2 linked regions of the Coturnix japonica genome follow. The protein of the gene in region 2 purifies or fractionates together with the protein of the main gene of each other region. This does not show direct contact. Links are inferred from orthologs where the notes say so. Each region holds a gene or a part of one and is shown on either strand. Other genes may lie near its edges.

The links. Proteins that work in one complex are often made in the same cells at the same time.
Region 1: the proteins of LRCH3 (region 2) and SUGT1 purify together in Homo sapiens (co-immunoprecipitation; 3 studies listed by BioGRID and IntAct, counting the BioPlex papers as one, with this or other methods). This does not show direct contact. The link is inferred for Coturnix japonica from reciprocal best matches to the Homo sapiens genes LRCH3 and SUGT1.

What each region holds. Positions count from the first base shown.
Region 1 is NC_029516.1:148,378,123-148,388,949, forward strand, and holds the start of SUGT1 (protein SGT1 homolog), read right to left. Parts: upstream 9,974-10,827; 5' UTR 9,873-9,973; coding exon 9,844-9,872; intron 9,755-9,843; coding exon 9,709-9,754; intron 8,163-9,708; coding exon 8,073-8,162; intron 6,819-8,072; coding exon 6,748-6,818; intron 6,411-6,747; coding exon 6,340-6,410; intron 913-6,339; coding exon 859-912; intron 1-858. UniProt on the Homo sapiens protein: May play a role in ubiquitination and subsequent proteasomal degradation of target proteins.
Region 2 is NC_029524.1:13,147,555-13,158,381, reverse strand, and holds part of LRCH3 (DISP complex protein LRCH3), read right to left. Parts: intron 9,439-10,827; coding exon 9,358-9,438; intron 8,649-9,357; coding exon 8,577-8,648; intron 7,717-8,576; coding exon 7,668-7,716; intron 7,211-7,667; coding exon 7,097-7,210; intron 6,473-7,096; coding exon 6,354-6,472; intron 5,194-6,353; coding exon 5,056-5,193; intron 3,054-5,055; coding exon 2,976-3,053; intron 1,227-2,975; coding exon 1,026-1,226; 3' UTR 1-1,025. UniProt on the Homo sapiens protein: As part of the DISP complex, may regulate the association of septins with actin and thereby regulate the actin cytoskeleton.

The DNA.
Region 1 (10,827 bases), on a different chromosome or scaffold from region 2:
GGTAATGGTTGGACTGGATGATCTTCTAGGTCTTTTCCATCCTTGATAATTCTGTGATTCTGAGATGGAGTCCAAGCAGACAAATTCACTGGTTTAACCTCAAACACACCGTAACACTTGAATGTAAACAGCAGCTCAGTATTTCTTCTTGTAAATGTTTCTCTTCAAATAGTGTTTCCAAAGAAAAAACTCCCTGTTTCCCTTATAACACACACTGCTAAAAAGATAAAAACCATTGGAAAACTGCTTTTCCTGCAATTGGCTTTTAGGCAACGCATTGATAGAAACTCGCATTCCTCCTACTGCCCCATTCTCCAGTAAGTAACAGAAAGAGGGGAGAAGTCACAACAGGTGGAGGAAGAAAAGAGGCAGCTCTTCTAACGCAGCCCATTAAAACCAGCAGGCAGTTAAGCACTGCAGGTGAGTTCACCGCCAAGGGGTGTCAAACTGTGGAAAGATAGAAAAGGAAGCTGTGTGCACACTGACTATCACTAAGACAGCAGAGCAGCAATTAGTACCCAAAGGCACTCTCCACGTGAAATCAAAGTGATTTTCATTGCTCTTTCCCACTTAAATTCTCAAATCTTGAAGAAAATAACGTTGACATTGCATTTAGAAAGCAAGCTGACACATGCTTCAACAGTTAAAATCAGTTGTCTGAACTTTCACTGCATACTCACCTAAGTCTGAGGAGTTCAGGATATGTAAGCAAGAGAAACAAGGCATAAGAAAACATAACGTCCTTTTAAACATAAAAATTCTGGTTTAAATACAAAGTAACCCTTCAGAAAGAAATGAAACAGCTTCATATAACAGGACACATCAAACCCTGTAATTTGTATATGTGCTTTCTCTTACCGTTCAACGTTTCCTCACATCTTTTAATCCAAATTGTAAAGGTATCATCTACATCTAGAAGAGATCAAACACATTAGCATTACAACTCTTTGAGTAATGCACTCAATGCATAAAGAACAGTTCCTTTCAACTCCCAAGTTGGAACAAATTCATCCCAAATTCACATTGATTTATTAAATCATGGTATTATTTCCAAGTACTTTCATGTCAACTCTCTCATTCCAGGTAATTTTTAAGTTTAAGTTTAAATTAAGTTTTAATTTTCTACAGCTCCACTATTTAACTCTGACACACTTAATTAATTTCTAAGACACTAGGCTTTCTCCCTCCCCAACCCCCTCAACTGACCCATATACGACATTGCTTTCCAATTGAACTCTACGTAACTTTTACAGAGTGAGAAGTATTGCTTATAAGCACTAAGAGTATAAGCAGTAAGTATTGCTTATTGCTTAGAAGCACTTCTCCATTCTCTTTTCCCAATCACATGCTGCCCCTCTAGAGAAATATAGAGACCCCCCCCCCCATGTTCTGTGGGCAGCCCACAGTTGGTGTGAGTGTGCACAAACACCAGGCATTTTCCCCTGGTGGTTTCACACATACTTTACACGCACATCTACAGTTAGAAGGATGTTGGAAATAAGTAGGTGCCAATTTCACTTTGCGAATCAAAACCACAGAAGAGTTTATTATTAAGATCACGATGATTTTAGGAAGAAGCTCCCAGGAGGAAATGAACTCACTGGAAAACAGCTAAAAAGGTAGCAGAGCGTGCATCATTTCAACACTATTCCCAGAAAAACCCTTCACAAGCAGGAATGCTTAAAAAAATAAAGCTGCAGCAATGACCAACTAATAAGTACAGATAAGCCGCCATCTTTTTACAATAGCTGGAATTCACCTTGAGGAAGTTCATGCAGCCAACTTCCCTGCAGAGGGTCTGAAGAAGCTTAAAAGAAAGCCAATAGAAAACACGCACGCAAAACAAAATGTGGCTCCACTGCAGTTCTACAAAGCATTCACCTCAACTCTTTCATTTTAAGGCGTGTCATATAATTGCTACCCACTGCAAAGGGAAACAGAGTCAAAGGGACGTAACCCACTCTCCCAGTAAAGAACTTTAATATAACTTACTTTGAGAGTACCGCTCAATGCATTTCTGGGAAGTATGAACAGACAGAGATACGCAATCAAACACTTGAGCTTCAGATCTACTTCCTCAACTAAGCATGCTGAAAAAGGCAGATGCTCCCTCTGCTTGCATGTATTTGCCACACTGCATGTTGTGAGTAAAGTCCTATTAGACCTCACTGTAGCAAATAGCAACTAATCCACTTGTGCTGCATACATGGTAGCTACTGCATAACTTGTATGTAAGATGCTCAAAGCTGAAGTCAGCTTCTAGCATTTCTCATGCTTTTAATAGAAGTGAGTATCATTTGGTAGAACTACATCTCATGGAATCTAGAGATTTGCTTATCGATAGCATAAATCACCTCTTTCTCTGAGAAACTGCACTCTGACACCATCCTTCTGCGCAATCTTGATCATGATAGTCCAACCAATTACTTTGAGATTCTGGTTTTGTACCAGTCATTACCTTTAAAAAAAAAAAGAAAAAATAGTTGCTCTAGAGAATGATTTAAAAGCAAGTAAAGAAAACCAAACAACCACAACCCACAATTCCCCCACACAACAGTGAAAGCAGGAACGCTGGCATTGCATAGTTCAAAGCAAGGGCAGAGAAAAAGAAAAAACCCCAAAGGGGGAGGGGCCCCCCCCAAAAAACCCCCCCCCCCTTCCAGGCAGAGCAGTTACAAATTTGAATAGAAAATGATTAATCAATGAATTTATGAAAATTGGATCAGCTTACCATTATGTTATAAGCCTGCCTTCGAATAAATTAGAAATAGCACGTTTTTGAACTTCAGGATCTTAAAGCATCCCAAAATTCAGTTACAGCTACATTAAGGGCCACTCAATGGAGCCAAGTCTTTGAATTAAGCTCATAAACCAGAAAACAGAAAGCGTAGAATTGTTACTAACTCCAATTCACACCCACCCCAGCGAGAACAAAAGTCAGTGACACTGTGTGAGGAACAGAACTCAACTCAGAAGAAACGTTCACAAAGTGGCAGTCTACAGAATTTTTACAGTCATTATCTTGTATCTCCAATGCCCCAGGTCCAGCAAAGAACAGGTAGACAGTTATTTTAGTTTCTCACAAGCAATACTTGAAGTCAACTTACTTGATCTTGGATGACAGAGGTTGCTGTTTGTATTCTAGACGAAGCATATTGGCATTGGAAAGATGAAGGGTTAATATAGAAGAGGGGGGCAAATTTCAAAGGTTTTGGTTTTAATTTTTTTTTAAGGGGATACAGTATATAAGAACAAGGATACAAGATCATCTTCATACTGATCACATTTCTTCTGTATGTGCATTAACTTATGGAAGAAAGAAGAAGATTCTTCACTTACGTTGTGACAGGACTTTAAAAGTTTACCATTTACAGACTGACAACCGCACACGCTCAGTGTCTCTTACCAGATTACACAGCCACACGGTTGGAAGATAACAACTAGATCAAGCTTTTAAATTTCTTTCCTTCCTTGGCTAAGAAACAGAGCCTGAAAAGGGACCACACAGCAGGCCCGTGTTGCTTCATCTTGTGAGTCCAACAAAGGTAAACCTGAAAATAGGTCTGAGAACGAACAGCAGAGTTTTTAATAAACATAAAAACCCCTTCAAAATCGTATGTCTTTAATATACACCCCACCTTATTTTCTGTTACAGTTTCTCCCTCTCTCTAATTACTAAGATAGTGTATTACATTTAGTTATATATAATATTATATTAAAAGGCAAAGAGTCATTTTGGGCGTTCAAAAAAGGTCAATTTTGACATTTTTTTTTTAAGATTGATCAATTTAGAAAATATACTTGTCTGAGGTACAGCTGAAAAAAGTCTGCAGAAACCCACATGGTGAGGCCACCAGAGAAAAAACCATTTCGAGCGGCCGTGAAAGTTGGAGCAAGATGAAGCTGATATGAGTTTGGTGACCACAGGACTTGCCACAGTTAAAACACCTGAATGAGCCGCACAGTTAATTTCCAGACTTGAATGTCATTGCCTACAGTCCTACAAGCTGTAAAGGCAGGCACTTGAATTCTACAAGCATGTTGAGACATGATTCAAGAACAATATTAACGGAAAAACACCTTTACCGCTTCTGTCTGTGAGGCCTGCAGGGGAAAAAAGACGACACAAAAGAGATGCCATGGTCAGGAAAAAAGGTGACCCAACACGACGCCCAGGGCCCCGTCCAACCTGGTCTTGAACACCTCCAAGGACGGGGCATCCACAACCTCCCTGGGCAGCCTGTTCCAGGGCCTAACCACAAGCCCATGCAATACAAGCAGAAAAATCCAGCCCTACTATCCTAGAAGATCTGCCTCTTCTCATGCATCCCAGCACATCATAATCTGAGGGAAGGACTTTTCCTCTCAGCAATTATTCTCTCAAAGAACTTACCAACAACACTATGAATAACTTTCAGAGAGCCTTAGTCTTCACTCGGACATATATCTGCTTTAAAAATTTAACCCATTCCATCTTTACTAAATTAAATAGGTGGTCACAATGAAATTTCTCACATGTATTTGTCCTAAAACCCACATCACATTCCCAAGATGAACAGCAGACCTTCCATCAGCAAGGAACAGAGGCATGTAATGGTGTACGTCTGCCCCCTTGTGTGGCAATGAAGCCAGCCCTGCCTGCACAGAATTCCCTGCTGCAGCAATTCTCTATCAGGCACCAACAGCTCAGTCTGCTCTCTTTATCACCTGCCTTACAATACGTAGCTAATTTTCCCCATTGAGCTTTGCTCGTTTTACTCTTCCTACATTTAACTGGAAGTTAATTGCTTTGCCAAAATGCTTCCATTCACAATTATTGTCATCCGGGAGCCATCAACCATCTCCACAGAACCTCGAAAGTAAATTTGCCAGCAAGTTGGAAAACAGGAAAGCTAAAAATCTATGCTTTAAAGAAAGCCTCCAAGAACCTCCCTCATCTCACACCAGGTCACAGAATCCTGCGATGCTGAAGGACATTTAGAAGCAAGCTTCAGAGGTAGAAGCAATCAGAAGCAATCAGGGAAGCTTTAGAAGGATTTCAACTGGGCAAGCAGCAAAACAACACATGAACAGGTAGGTTTTCTAGAATCATAGCATCACAAGGTTAGAAAGGACCTACAACATCATCGAGTCCAACTGTCCTCCCATTACCATGGCTACCATATATACATATATGAGTTTCCTGCAAATACATAAGAGTGGGAGGGGGCACAATCACCAATCAGGAAGAACCATAACCAGTTATACCCCCATCAAACTCCACTTTTAGATCAGAGGAGCAGATTACTTTGCCTCTCCCAAACAAGCAATTCCATTTTCGCTAAAGCTTTCAGCCTCAGCCATCGGTGTGGATGATAGAACTGAAAGATCCCAGATGATGACATTGCTTATCAGAGCAGTGCACTTTGCTCTGAGTAACCTTTCAAGATGCTTTTAAGATTTCCTTCTGCTGTTGAGAAAGGGAATTGAATGAGGTGAATTTTATTTGGTGTGGGGAATAGGAAAAAAGATAAAGGAACTGTAACCATCTAGAAATTACTTTGTTATATGCTTCCTAGGGTCTTCCACCAAAGTTTTCCATGCTGAACTATTTCTTTCCTGCTTCTAGAAGGAAGTCATATTATTAGAAAGCTCTAATTCTCCCCCAGATAATGTGTGCAGTTCCAACTGCCAACACTTTATATCCTTAAAGAGCTCATACACATGCCTCTGTTATGCAGTGAGAGCTGAAATCCACTCTGTCAGGTTGAATGCTCACTATGCTGTATGCCCTTTCTGAAGGCCAGCCCATCAGGTAGTTTAACAACTACAAATCCCAATTACACACAATTCAGCTCAAAAACCTTCCTGTGATGCTTAGTGCCACACCATTGCCACTATTTACCTGCAAGACCAATGGAGAGGAATTGGAAAACAGGGAAACACCCCCTTTCTGCAAGGCAAGAAAATGATACACTACCAGCTAAAATTTCCATTTGCATTTTTAAGCAGTTTTACACTTCCATAGAATCATAGAATTACCCAGGTTGGAAAAGCCTTTGAAGATCATCAAGTCCAACCACGGCCTAACCAGAACCCTAACTCTAATAACCCTCCACTAAATCATATCCCTGAGCACCACATCCACACGGCTCTTAAAGACAACCAAATGTAGCAACTGCACAAGTCTCTCCAGAAGTCAGACCTGATCCAGGTATCCCAAGTCAGGCACCTAATTCCTAAGCCTTCAAAAAACCAAAAGCCAACAACTAACACGGTCTCCATTTTCAGCTAATACGTTAAGAGAATTTCATTTATCAGCAAAGGAATGCTGTGCACACAAGAAATGGTAATACTTACTGTCCAACTTCTGTCCCTCTTTGAAAGACTCTAAAGCAGATGCATAGTTTTTGATATGGTATTCTCCTAACCTGACGTGAAGAAAGAAAAACCACAAGGAAACTGCAATTACTTTCTAATCTAATTCACATCCTGAAGATTACAACATCCCCACATGTGCTGGAATTTAAATCACCTATGAAATCTGTTTTTTGAATAGTTGGGATGTTAACATCATCACCCCTCCCTCCAAAGAAAACAACAAACCACACCAAAAGATCCATTTTATCTTATAACCACAGCTTTATTACAAAGGAGTTACAAGCAGCATGGCATGGAATTCACTCATTCCATAGAGCAATAATGCAAATACTGTTATTGTCCTGAAGTTTATCAGAATACTGTCAGAGCACCACATATGATACGTACCCTTTTCTAAGAAGTGCTATGGCATTACTGGGGTTGAGCTCTAGGGACTTCTTTGCATCTGCAACTGCATCTGTTGGAAGTCAGTTTACAGGTGAAGATCATTATAACGGTATGAAAAGCAATGAAATGCAAGTATTTCAGTACGCCTCAAAAATATATATATCACTATTATGTTAGCTTTCTTAGCCTGCATACAGATTAAACTGTCTGAATTTAATTCACTCAATGCTATGGATGAAGTCTTCAATCAGCTATAGAGCTCCACAAAAGATGAAGTGGTGACTTTCACTCTGTCAGATCCTCTACTGTAGTCGAACTTGACCCCATCAATAGAACTGAATACAGGTTGAAAGACCTTGAAAGATCATCAACTCAACACACCCTAACATAAACACCCTCTGCTAAATCATATCCTGAGCATCACATCCAAACACGGCTCTAAACACATCCAGGGATGCGTCAACCACCTCCTGGGGAGCCTAATTCCAGTACCTAACACTTCTGGGTACAGAAGTCTCCTAAATCACAACCTAAACATGCCTGGCGCAACTTGATGGCCATTTCCCTCTCGTTGCACCAGTGAGAAGAGACCCTGCCACTCTTCACTTAAAACCTTTAAGGTACGAATAAGGCGATAATTCCCCTCAGCCCTTTTCCCAACTAAACAGCCCAGCTCCTTAGCCTCTCCTTGAGGTCGATTTTCCAAGCCTTCACGGGAGCCTCGCTGCCTACTGGACCTCTCCTGCACCTCATGTCTTCCTGTGCTAGGTGCCCAAAGCCCCCCTGAAACACAGTACGTCAAGGTGAGGCCCACAATGCCGAGTCCAGTGGCAGGATGACTTCCCTAGTCTGCTTCACCACATTCCTGATACAAGCCAGGATGCCTGATTTATCTACTTATTTTGCTTAATTGTTGACAGGCAATTTAGGCTAAATGTTAATTCAGTTAACCAAATAACACCTGGGTGGCAGGTTATCACCTTCCTACCACAACTGGATTTCAGTGTCTACCAAAAAGAGCATGTAAGGTTGGAAGAGTTTACAACATAAAGCTTAAAATCACCATAAAATCTAACCTGAAAATAATGTTCCAAGACAGTTCTGTGCTAAACTCAAACAGCAACTGGGATTGCAGAGCATCAGATTCGGCTGCAAGTTTTGCAGATATAAAATAATCAAAGATAAGGAAGGCTCTCGAGTACATCCTAACTGCAAACAGCAAACTAAAGTTAACAGCAACACTGTTAAAAGCTAGTCATCTAAACTATAAAGAATTTCAAATACGACCTCTTAAGAGGATTGTCAGTTGCCTGAAGATGTTTCACAGTGTAGTTCTGTAGAAGAATGTGGGCATAAGCTCGTTGACAGTAATATTCGGCATCATCTGGACTCCTTTCCAAAGCTCTTGTCAGTTCTCTGTGAAGAAATCCGAAACCGCACCCTTGGAAGATCCCAATAATCTAAAAATGGACTCTGTCAAGTAAGATGTCAGAAAAAAAATACCCTGGACCAGCTCACTGAAGGACCTAATTGACAGTTTTACCTGAAAGCTAACGCCAACTGAGGCATAAGAACTTGCAGTTACACACGCTATTCCTTGCAGAAAGGGAACATCACAGAATCACAGAAACGGTTGAAGGGACCTCAAGGAACATATTTCCAACCCTCGCCTGGCAGGGCCACCAAACATACAACTTTTAACAGACAAGGTGCCAGGGCGCTCAACCTGTCTGAACCTCCAAGGACGGATCCACAAACCTCCCTGCAGTCTTCCAGGCTAACATCTCCTAGAAAAGAACTTCCCCCTAACATCAATGCCTTAAATAGGAATCTGAATGCTCAGGTAATCCTGTATGTTCCAAAAACCTTCCTATAATTCTCAGCACATCTGAAGGGAAAAAAATACCTCGCTATGAGGGTGAGACAGTAACAGTACGGTTACCATGTTTGCTAACTTTGCTCAATTTCTATTCAGAATTTGGCAAGCATGAGGGTAGCTAAGATATAGACTTTAAGCCTGCACAAATGTTAGCACAACACAGCTGCTAGAACTCACCAAGCCAGAGAAAAAAGGAAAAGTAGCAGGGCCTGTCTGAATTCAGATTGGTATCCTGCTCTCTTTCATTTATATGCTTACACTAGGAACTACGTGGCCACAACAGCTTCTTCCAGTGGCAGCATCAGGTGTACAAAACTCCATAGAAGTACAGCACAAACATCTAAAACCTCAGAGGTCTCTGAAGAAACAGGAGGCAGAAAGAGCTACAACAAAAAGCATCACTAGATCTGACTGTAAAGACATGATTAAGGATACATTCAAGATCAGACATCATTCGTGGTAGACAGATATTCTAGACAAGAGAAGCATGAGGAGACCCAACAGGATCACGGAACACTGAGAAGTGAAGTACAACTTTTGTTTTGAGACACTCCTCCAAACAAACCATACATTACAGCAACTCGAACAGTCAGCCACAGGGCAGCTGACAGGCAATTGTAGGGGTTGGAAGGGACCTCTAGAGATCATCGAGTCCAACCCCCTGCCAAAGCAGGCTCCCTACACCACATCACACAGGTAGGCGTCCAGGTGGGTCTTGAATATCTCCAGAGAAGGAGACTCCACCACCTCCCTGGGCAGCCTGTTCCAGTGCTCCGTCACCCTCACCTCACAAGCTTATGGCTTTATCATCATAGAATCACAGAACGGCCTGGGTTGAAAAGGACCTCAAAAATCATGCAGTTTCAACCCCCCCCGCCATAGGGTTGCAGCCTGTAGACCAGCCTGCCCAGACCCACACCGTTCACTGTTAAAACACAGATAATGAGCAGCCAGTTGTACCAAACCCAAGACCTCAGCCAGGCCCCACACACAGAGGGCAGCACAGCGAACCACCCCCTACACACAGCGATGCGGCATCACCCCTATAAGACCCCCTATAAGCTCCCTCCCACAGCTCTCACCCGCGCCGCCGCCGTCGGATCCCGATCGATGTCCGCGTCCGAGAACCTGCCGAGGAAACACAACGCCGTGAGGAGGCGGGGATGAAGAAGGAGCGGGCAGGGAGGAAGGAGCGGGGTGTTGAGCTGGGTGCTCACCGAGCCGCTGCTTCTGCAGCCGCCGCCATCCCTCCCCCAGGAAACTTCTGGAGCCGCCACAAGGCCGCAACCACCGCGCGTGGCCTGACGGGACCAAGCGGCGCCACAAGCTCCTCCCGCCCACGCCATCGCTACGGAGGCACGCAACCTTCCATAGAGTGTGTGGAGGACTGTCGGGACAGAGCGGCGCGCAAGATGGCGGAAAGCGCGGTGCGCATGCGCTGGGTGTCCGCCATGATGGAAATGGCTGCCTGTCCCCGTCTGAAATAGAAAGTTCTCATTTGAGATGTACCTCACATCACACAGTGCTGACTCATGTACCAGCAGCAGTGCCAGCGCGGCCCAGCTGCAGGGAGAGCTCTGCCAGATAAACCTCCAGCTGGTGGCCAGCCCTTCCCGAAAATGGGATTACAGCTGTGGGTGTTTGCAGGTCAAAACATAACAGCATGGAAGGGCAGGGCATGGAGCCATGCAGTGAGCTAAAGCAAGGCTGCTTAGATGCCAAACTGTGGCTGAGAACTGCTTGTGAGATGGCTTTAATTCATTCCATTCAACTAGACTGAGCTGCTGCCACCTCCAGTGACAGAACATTAGTAGTGAGGTTCACAGAATCACAGAATGACCCGGGTTGGAAGGGACCTCAAGGATCATGTAGTTCCAACCCCCCTGCCTGGCAGGGCCACCAAGCATACACATTTACTAGATCAGGTTGCCCAGGGTCCTGTCCAACCTGGTCTTGAACACCTCTCTGAGCTACACGACATCCCAAGATCACAATGAAACATGGGGCTGTTTATAACATATTAGGAAGTGATAGAAAAGGAGGAGTTGTTGGTTGAGGGGTCTGGAGCACAGGCCTTACGAGGAGCGGCTGAGGGAGCTGGGATTATTCAGCCTGGAGAAGAGGAGGCTCAGGGGAGACCTTATAGCTCCCTATAACTTCCTGAAGGGAGGTTGTAGTGAGCTGGGGGTTGTCCTCTTCTC
Region 2 (10,827 bases):
GAGAAACACATTAAAGCACCAGGATGCTTCTCCAGAGGAGGGAAAAGCTTAAAGCTGTGTAGAGAACTACCTGAGATCTGTGTAACAGTAAAGAGGGAGCTGAACACACAGCCAGGTCGTGTATCACAACTGTGTGATAGCAAGGTTTCTGCAAATAAGCAGATAGGAAGAGGAAGAAGTGTGGTTTGAGGCTTCCACAATTGAGTGGCAACACAGGAAATCTTTGTTAAGTGTTATCCGGGGCACAGCAAAATGCTGTGGCAACCCCACGACATCTGACAGAACCCAAAGGATTCTTCCTTCTGTGCCAGAAATGTTTTCTTTCAGGGAGTTCAGTTTCTCTGCACATCTCCTCTTAGATCAGTTATGAAGCTCAAGAAGCTCAGGATTGATGGACAGCTACTTTAAAACCCTGGACTGACACATAAAACATGGGACTCTACCAACAGGAAGGTCAGGTCCTCTCAGCAGCTGGGATATGGGGCTGGGATCTGAGGAAAACAATCCCAGGATCTTGTGGACAAAGCTGATCAGACCACGTCTCTAAGACTGTGAGATCTAATCAAGGCCACTGATGTTCAAAATACATTGTGTTGTTTAATGCTTCTTTCATCACATAAATCCCGAAGCAATTGACCAACCTGGGAGCAGTTCTTATGATACAGACAGGGAAACTGAGGCACAAACTGACAGTGCAGTTTTCCCAGTGCTAGATCCTTTGCCAGCAGTCAGCCCATAGCACACACCTACGTGGCCCTAAAGCTCAGCCCCCTGCTCCAGCCCACACACAGCACCTCCTCCCCCAGCATCACATCTGCTCAACATCACACAGTAAACACGAGCGTGAGTTACATCACATGGTTGTGTGGATGCACCAATGTGTTTACACATTGCCTGTGTCACCTCTGTTGCTTCTTTCCCATCAGTGAGAAAAAGCACTTTGTACACGCGGTCTTGACAAAACCCAAAATCCTTTACAGAGAACTGGAGCGATGGAGGGAGGAAACAGCAGCACTGTCCCTCAGCTAGAGGAAAAAGACCCAGCGATAGACCATACAGAGCGTTAGCATCAGAGTACAGTAAAACACCACAAAGCCCCAGAGCTGAACAGAAAGGGAGACAAGACTGGATTCTTCTGAATCTGTCCCCAGGGAAAGAAGAGTCTCAACTGTTCTTTTAACGCTGAGGTTTAGCTGAAGAATGTCAGAAGGGGAACAAAGATTGTCCTGTCCAGAGTGTGTAAGCAGGAAGGGAAAACAGACAGAAAAAAAGGTCAGTTAGCCATAGCAACATCCACTAAGCAGCGTCAGACATTTCAGATACAGCTACATGTTCAAGAAGCGTAACACGGTTATATCTCACAAAGCAATCTGTGCAAGTCCCATTTCAAAGAACGCCCAATGCAGATACACAGTGCTCAGCCTGGAACATACAGGTTCCATTAATACCTCTTAGGAGGTATTTCTACATAGATCCACACTTCCAGAAAGCCCTTCGTTTTTGTAACTGGAATTTAAACAAACAGAAATAGCTGCAGGCATCAGCAGAAATACATTATAGGCTGCCATGCCGCTCCTCCTTACTGATATCTGACCTTCTCATCTCAGCAGACATGCAATGCAGACATGTGAGAGCAGCTTTAGAATCCAGCTGGGGGTATTTCAGTGTGTTTCCCCAGAGACATTCTCCCTGAACTCCTTCACATTAAAGCAGGAGAACTGAGAAAAACAGGAGGATCCTAAGCAGAAGGTGCAGTAGATGGAGCAGACTGGGTCTACAGGAGACTCTTTGCCTGAGTGCTCTTCTTTTTGTTCCTAAATGTGTGACATTTCAGAGAACAGCTCTGCACTCAAACCCCATAAAAAATTACATCTCTGTGTCGAAGGGAGCTGTGAACAGGGAAGCTGCAATGAGATTGAACCACTGTGCCCCAGAAGGATTTATACTGTACAGTCCTGCTGGGAGTCACAGGCTCCAGTTTCTTAGAGGACTAAAATATCATCTCAAAACATGAATGATCACTTATGACTTCCCACCATGTTCCAACACCATTCACCAGTGAGTCATGTGAAACTGCTGGGCAGCTCAACAAATACACTATCCTAAAATCCCACTGGCTCAAATGCCTTTGTGTGAAGCTATCAGCATTGCTGACTTGCGAGCACTGCTTTTAGAAACAGCAGGGAAATGAGCCACTGGGTCTACTTTTCCCTTTCACAATGCACAAATATGAAAACAGCACCTACAACAGAAACACTGTGTATGTATAAAGCTGTGTAGGAAACCAATCACATTTATACGCCAGAAGAAAAATAAAGAACAAACGTGACCTACTGAAATCATTTGTATTGAGGCAGCTGCTGGATAAGACAAAGTGGAAAGGACAGGACAGCATAAAACACAGTAACAGGACCCATTTCAGAGGGGAGAAAGAAAACCAGTTCTACCTCTAGTACATGGCAGAAAGAATGAGGATCTATGCAAAGACAGCTACTGTCAGAGAAAGGCCAATAACAGCGAGACTCCTTGGCAAGATGGTACAGATGTTCACACAGAAGGATTATTCTGAAGGAACATCAAATGCTTTGGAATTGAAGTCACACATGCAAAATATCATCCAAATTTTATCCCACTTTTAAGCTGCCAAATACCTAATATTGAGAAAACTGAACCATCTTTACCAAGCACCTTGCAGTTCTAAAGCCAGGCTCAAGCTGCACCCAGCTGTTACAAACTTAAGGCACAGCAGTCAGCGAATCAGACTTCTGGGAGATTAACTACACCCAGCTTCTTTTTACCAGAAAAGACAACGCAAGGTCTTACCTATACAGTAAGGCATAACTCGCATGTGGACCTTCTAAACTTTGAATCACCTTACTTTCATCAAACGCTTCAAGAAATGTTCTATTTTTGTTTTCCTGATCATCTACAAAATCACATCTGCACCACAACGTCAGAACAGCAGAGAAATGTACCTGAGGCACCCCGATCCTCCTGCAGGCGTCCAAGAAGTTCTCCACGTTCCGTCTGCATTTCGCCATTGTAAGCTTAGGCTGCAAAAGAAGCAGGCAAGGTGCTCTTAATTGGAAGGATTTTGTATCTTAATGGAACTCTTAATAAAACTCTTTGCCAAAAAATATCACACCGCAGTAAGTTTGTATAATTCAAACCAGGTTGTGCTGCACTTTGCTTCAGAAAGGCAAGTTCTGAGCTTTCTGAAAAGCCAATTTATGAATACGGGATGATTTCTTAAGACAACTCTAACCTGCACTGTACTGATACACATAAAACAGGCTAACACTTTTAGTGACTGCAATGTGATAATTTAAGATATACCGAATGAAACATACACATACGTAGCACCTGTGCTGTGATTTCAGCACAATTTAATGATACGAAGCAACCTGGAGTCCATTCTGGGTTGCTACATTAAAAAGATACTGAAAATCTTGTTTCAATTAAGGAGGAGATACCAAATGAAGGCTAGATGAACCCAGAAGATGACGGAATACAACTGGCACAGCGACTTGCTGCATACAAGCCTATTGCAGATGAATTCACTGGCACTTCTCAAGTAAGTTTTTTCTGCGTAGTTGGCTTCCTCACCTCTACACAGAACTAGCACTGCACAGGCTCTGTCTTGTTTCTGTTCCCGAAGCTTATTCTTTTCTGATTAAAGAGACACGAGCTTCCTGTTCCTTCACACAAGCTCCCCACAATGTGCGCAGCAGCAGCCTCTGCAAACTCAGTGTTTTTCCTTCAGAGGGGGGAAAGCAGACGGTTGGGGCTCTTCCTCTGCCCCCTCAGCCTGCTATGTTCCTCACCAAGAAAGCAGGTTAAAGGCTATTGCTGCTTTCTTTCTCCTGCAGGATGGAGGGAGCACAAAGATCACATTGTGACTGAGGAAAGACACGATGCCTCTTCTGCTGCTGGAGCCGTCCAGCCACAGGCTGCCTCTTCTGTGACATTTATGACAAAGCCATGATTTAACTTGTAGCTCAGAATATTCACAGCACATAAAACCAGGCCATTGAGAAGATATTCTTGACAACTCAAGTCTTGTTGAATAGCAGCTGTCTGCATTTCTCTTAACGATTCCACAATCTGCCTAAAATACTGGCGTGTCCAGCTCAGTCGTTCTCAAAATAATGAAGACATCTCCTTGTTCACATAATTCCAAGCAGGAGGAACCACAATGATACAGTACACAGCCCTGTAAGTGCCAGTTCAAATTCCAACCAACACAAGGACTGACTCCAAAATAAGTAGAAGCAAACAATGTGCTTGTTTTAAACTCTTCCCGCAGCAAAAAAAGACTTCTTCCCCGTTTGTATAATGTTAAGATGATGTGAAGGTGCATCACGAGCAGTTTGTCTCTCCATTGTATTTACAGGTAGCTGATCCTAAACGTTTTCACTGAACTTTCTGACAGCAAAATACACGTTAATTATTTGGCTGACAGATCATGTAATTAATTTGTCGTTGTGTCACAGCTCTTCATCTCACTTTAATTCCGTGCTCTCCCAGCATGATACAGAACAATAACACACAGTAACGTATCAACTCCATTGCCTTAAAAACACTGCAGTCAGGTAAGAGGAACAAGTTCCTCCATTGCCCAACTTCTCTTGAACTTCTCCCCTTGCTCTGAACAGCCCCCATATATAACAAACTTTTTTCCCTCCTGTTATCACAAACATATGAGTGGATTACTTTGTTCCAGGAGACGGTGGTGCTCTCCAAGCATGTGAAAACACAGCTCAAGCGTGCTCTGCTGACACTCCTAAGCAGAGAAATTTGCAGTGCTGTGAAATGGATACAAAAATCATTTTGGCCTCTTTGCTTGCTCTTGCTGCTCTGTGTAGCAGGATCCCAAATAACGCAGAGAATCAGAAGTAAGAAGGTTTTAAATGAAACCGCAGATACTCTACAGACAGAACAGTCGTCATGTATGTTCACAAAGGAAAATAATGAATTACACATTTGCATGGATTACAGATCTTTGCTGGAAGGGTTTTGGACACCGACAAAACACTGTCATTCTGATATACTTACAACAGCAGGTGAGGGGACGTGGATGCTCGGGACAGACCGAGGACGGACGTGGTTAGCCAGGTGGCACAGAACAACGCCATCGGTGAGAGCTGCTCCAAGATCACTGGGCAGGGACACTTTCAGCCGTGACTCAATATTCTGTGCAAAATGAACATGGACACAGAAAGTAAGTGCTGGTTTCCTCTGACTGTTTCAGTCTGTGGAACATTTTATAAGAGCAGAAGCATTTGTGTTACAACTCCCTGCTTATTCACCAAACTGTTTAGAACAGCTTTCTGAGTAACACCAAGACAGGTTCTGCACTGCGCTGGGCCAGAGCTGAACACAATCTGGGAGCCCTTGAGTTCAATGATGAACAGTTTTCTTTGCACAGCACAGGGGATTATATATAGAAAAGATTTAATCTTACCTAGGAAGCAGAACAAGAGAGAGACTGCATGTAAAGCATTCCGAGATAAGAGATGAAAGACTAAAGCTGAGCTTTGTTTCATTTTACTTAAGAGAGCTTTCTCCTTTCAGAGAGAGCAGATTGACCCTTACTCTGACAATCTGCAGAGAAATGAGCTTCCTGGCTATCTGGGATGCTTACGGCTTTTAAAATCAGCTTTAGAAAGAGGAATTCTCATTTACTGAGAAAGTTCAGAGCGCTGAACCACTTCAAGGAATCCCTCCACAGACAGTGCAAGTTTGCCTGAGGCAAAGCAGAGCAGTACCTTAATGCCCTGTGGCATACTCAATATTAGCCACTGTCATGGGCACAAACCAGGGCATACTGGCCCTCAACAAACGAAAAGCCTGAATGTAGGGAATATTTTTGCCACAGATATTCTACAATTAACTGAAGATAAAGTGAGAGCCAACAGGTAGATTCACAGCACACAAGGAAAGCAGCAGCCTCTGTGTGCCACCTGCTTTTCTATAGGCTTTACAGCAAAGGTGAATTTTTAGAAAGAGATAAGAAAGAAAGACACTGAGGGAACTCCCTGCAAGCATGAAGGGCGATAGGGAAGAAAGCATGTGATCCTTCTAAAAGCAAAGATCACTAGCCAGTCAGAAGCAGGAGTTAGTGCTGTGTATTTCACTGCAGCTGAATCTAACTTTATCCACAATAAAAGCCAGCACTGCATCCATCAGAAAGATACACTCAGATTGCACAGCGCTATTCCATTTCGGTCAACTCCTCACCATAATTGGTTCATAATTGGTTCAGTGCAATCAGTCCAGAACACAAGGGCAGCTTTAACATGCTGGCACACAACACATTGACTGAGAGGTTCACTGGTTTTGTCAGCACTTACCTTACGTAGCTGCTCTATCAGCTCCAGCTCCTCCTCACGCTGCCTGGAGCTCTGCCTAACTCTGGTGTCTGCAGAATCATTAGCAGGAGACAAGGCACGGGAAGACGATGAAGCAACCACTGAAAAAACAGCATGAAGAGCAATGGGTAAGTATGGTTTGGCTGACTGCCCTCATCTGCTGCATTACACATGTACAGTGTTCCAGAACGGGTACAGGGCATCCCTTTTCACAAATCTGCTTCTTTAATAAGCCTATTAACCTAACAAACTAATGACCTGCTAATCTAAATGAGGTGTTTCCTAATACATCTCCTTTTCCCCTTAGATTTTGTTGTTTCTCTTGGCTACTAATCATTTCATTCCCAAAAAAAGAGGACAAAGTTTTGACAGATGAAATATGTTGAAAGAGTTCAGGCTTTCCACAGACTTTCCAGTTTTGTCTTATGCTGCTACACACAGTGCAAAATCCATTGAGCTGCCGTTATAACTCGTTGAAGGCCTGTGTGGCATTTCCTTGCTATTTTTTAGGCGTAAGGACAAGGACCAAGAAGAATAGATTCCCAACTTTTCACAATTACAATATTAATTCCACAAGTATTTATAATGCCACATGGCTACAAATGAAACCCTAAAATACTTTGTTGATAATGACCTAAAGTAACAGAGCAGCGAAAAACCTGGGTAAGGCCGATGTTAATAAAACGTAATGCAAAACGAGCTCATTGCTGAGTTACACAACCTACCTTTGTTTGCTTCATCCCTGACAGCTGCTCGGAAAAGGAAACTCTCGGGTCGCTGGGAAGGGTTTCTATAGGAAGGCAGGGCTGCATGACCAGGATGCGGAGGGGAAAGGTGGACTAAACAAATGTGGGAAGGCACAGGAAAGGAAATGAGGAAGAAGGAAACGGTTAGAGTTTAAATAGGAAATGGGTTCAGCAACGTGGTAATTAAAAAGAACAAACTAAATTTTAATATCATGACAAAATAATTTACGTGCATGCATGATAAAAGCAAAGGGCAGGAAAAGGCACTTTCAAGGACACTTGCCATGCAAAGCACATTCCACATACCACTTCCAACAACTGTTCTGACTGCTGCTGAATGAATCTGGGGGCCAAAGCCTACACTGTCCCTGAGGACACGCTCCAGCCCTGCTGCCTCTCCCCTCGTGTGTTTTCAAGGAGACCCAAATAAGAGGGTAAGCTCTCAAACACAGCAGTGCCACACACAGTGCTCCCTTCTCCTCATAGCACAAATGTGCGGGCAGATATTTTGACCTTGTTTTACAGCAGCTTTGCTTCCTTTCCCTGTTACCTGTCTGAGTGGTGGGTGAGCCAGGAGAGATGGTGGATCTGTCATCGCTCTGTAGGCAAAAAAGTAGAAGAGCATAAATGGTCTTAATGTGGAAGAAGTTGTGACTACGTTTGTACTATTTGCTGTGTCTGATAAGAGGCATCATCCATTGAAACATACTACAGAACAAAGAGCCAGCTGTGAAAAACACAACACGTTGTTCGTCTCATCTCTGCAGAAAGCAGCTAAACTTTTTTTTTCCTTTGCAGAAATGCCACAATTACTCTTTTCTGAGGAAGAAGTGGTGAAGCAGCACCGACAGCACAATGCTCTCTTTGTTTATCCCTCCTTCTCACCAAGATGTTCAATATTCTTTGCAGAGGGGGCACAGCAAAAACAGCTGATTAAAAAACATGCAAAACTTGCATAACAGCAGCATGGATAAGAATACAGAGCCTCTATGACACCTCTGACAATGCAAAACTCACTGGATATCCCCTTCCCTAGTGAAATACAACGTACTTAAGCACTGCAGTAAAACACAGACCAATGTCTCATTCAGAATAGCAGCTGCCACAAAAGAAAGTTATAGGACGCCTATACTCAGTGGGAAAAGCAAGCCAGAAAAGAATGCAAAAGAAATACTTCTGATAAACTCAGCTTGGTTACGAGAAAATCATATTGTAAATAAAAAGCAACATCAAAGCCAATGAGGAACCCCTTGGAGCAGATGGGTTACCATGCTTTTTAGCTTGGACACAGCCTGAAGCTAAGATGAGGTCACAGCTACTACAATCTAACCAGGTAAATCAGATTCATACCCTACCTGAACTTCTGACCAGAAGCTGACATACCAACACCTGTAAAAGCAGATGTGTGGACCCAAGTTTTTTGTTGGATTTATTGGTGAATGATAATAGCAAGAGATACCTTGGCAGGACTGAGGGCAGAGGTGTTAGGCAGGGCAGTAGCACAGCTGTCTTGATTCAACCCTGAGAGGGACTGAATGCAGAAAGAAAGAGAAGGCAGCAGCAGTGTTAGCAAGCAGCTGGTAGGGCACACACACAGGTAGAACTGAGTAGCCAAGTCAGGATGGAGGAGGTGATCATGGTTACGTGCTCAGAAACACTTAAAAAGCAAAGGACAGACACAACAGGTATTTACTTTTCAAACTAAGGTTAAAGCTTTCCTGTCCTCCTGAACTTTCTGGCTAATGAGTTTGGCAGGTGAAACTTTCCTTTTTTACACAGCACAAAGTGGCATCAGAAGCAAAGCTAAAGGACACACGTTTGTTCTGCCACCAGTACCTAATGCTGGTCTTTGTGAATTACACATGGAAGGAGATGTTACAAACAGGGCAAACCTTACACAGACACCTTCATGCCACACACAGGCAGCAGCTGATCCTCAGAACAGCCTCCTCTGCAGCAGTGCAGAGCTAACTTTTTTTTGCTGTTTTTGTTTGCTTGCTTTACAAAACATTATTTCAGCAAATGTAACATCAGCTAATATAGCAAAAAGCAAAATAAAGCAAGTGGTGGCGGTCTGTGACAGCAATGCAACTTTATACCTGTACAACATGAGCAAGACAACCTTGACACAGACCAACAGGCAGCAGTCACGATCCACAAACCCAGCACTGGGCAAAGGGGGGAACACAGCACACAGAGGGTAAGAGAAGCACAACAGCAACACAGTGCATGCTCTTCACCTGTTTGCGAGTCCCTGGCCTTCTCTTAATGGTATTGGTGTTATTGTCAATCTCAAACACAAAGAGAGGCTCAAAGCCATTCTGTCAGGGACAGCGAGGAAAGAAAGGGAGGGAAGAGAGGAAGAAGTGAGGCAAAGAATAACTGTAAGAGAAGGCAGTTGCAATATAAGAAGAATCAGGGTGCTGCAATTCAGACTTACACACTACTGCACACGCTGCTCTTCATTTCTAGGTCTAGCAATGAAGTTAGAGAAACGTCCCCAGCCAGAAACAACTTTAGATAGAGGGAATGCCAAAACAGAGCCCAGCTGTGACTCCACGCTAACTAAAAATAAGGCTGCTTTACAACAAATTGATTGTCAGTTGTCTGAGCATACAAATGGATGGCAACTGCCTGAGAGAAACCTCCAGGGCACAAGTAAGCATAATCCAAGTCGTGCTTCCTTTACTCACGCTGTTATTACTTGTAGCTTCCTGGTGCCCAAAAGGCTGAACGCACAATGTCTCAGAGATACCAGTATTAACTGTGATGATGGTCCCAGGTCACATTTCAGACCATGAGGCAGCCCACAGCAGCAGTGACATGAGTGTTGCACAACAAGGTCACAGCAGCTGCCTGGTGCCACTGGGTATTTCACAGGCTTTGTGACAAACTGAGAAGCAGTTTGTGTGAACAATAGTGGTACCTTTTGTACCTGTCTCCCACTGACTCACCTTGTAACGTACAGTAGTAGAAGGGAGAAAAAGCTATCTGGGGAAAGATGAGATTCAAAAGCAGTCAAGATTGAAATCATTACCCCAGGACTGAAGCCTTGATGCTGTATTAACAAGCACCCCCAACTGCAATGAGAGTACTGTAGCGAGAATGGCAAATGGGATTTGAGTAATACAAGACTGAGTTACACTGTAGGCTTTCTCAGAGAGGCCAGGGACTGTATTCCTTCCGCAAAGGCTCAGTTATAAACCAACACAGTGAAATCCACCACAACACACACTCAAGTCCTATGGCCAAACTCCACTTCGCATCGAATCACAAGGATGTAGAAGGAACAAGCAAGCAAACTGTAAATGCCCATGGAAGGCATAGAAAGCCTTTTTGTGAGCTGAAACAGACTGCCTTTGAAAGCACCTACCAATGGAAAGGAACAACCAGAGCAAACTGTGCAACACAAATGCATTTCAATTCGTGTTAAACGGCAACAGGCAGGAGCAGCAAAAGAAATGTGATGAGGTTTTAAGAGGAAAATCTCAACTCAAATTTGGCTTTTAAGAATTTTTCTGTTTTTCAAGCAATCCGGGGGGCGATTCCTTGCTGCTAAACAAGTTTCTGCCATCCAAGATACATAAGTGACATAAAAAGAACTGCTGCAAATTCATGAGCTGCCCCGAGCTACAAGTTCCAGTTACAACAGTCACTACAAGCAGCTGTCCTGGCATCTGTCATCATTAGACACAGCGTGCACTTCCACT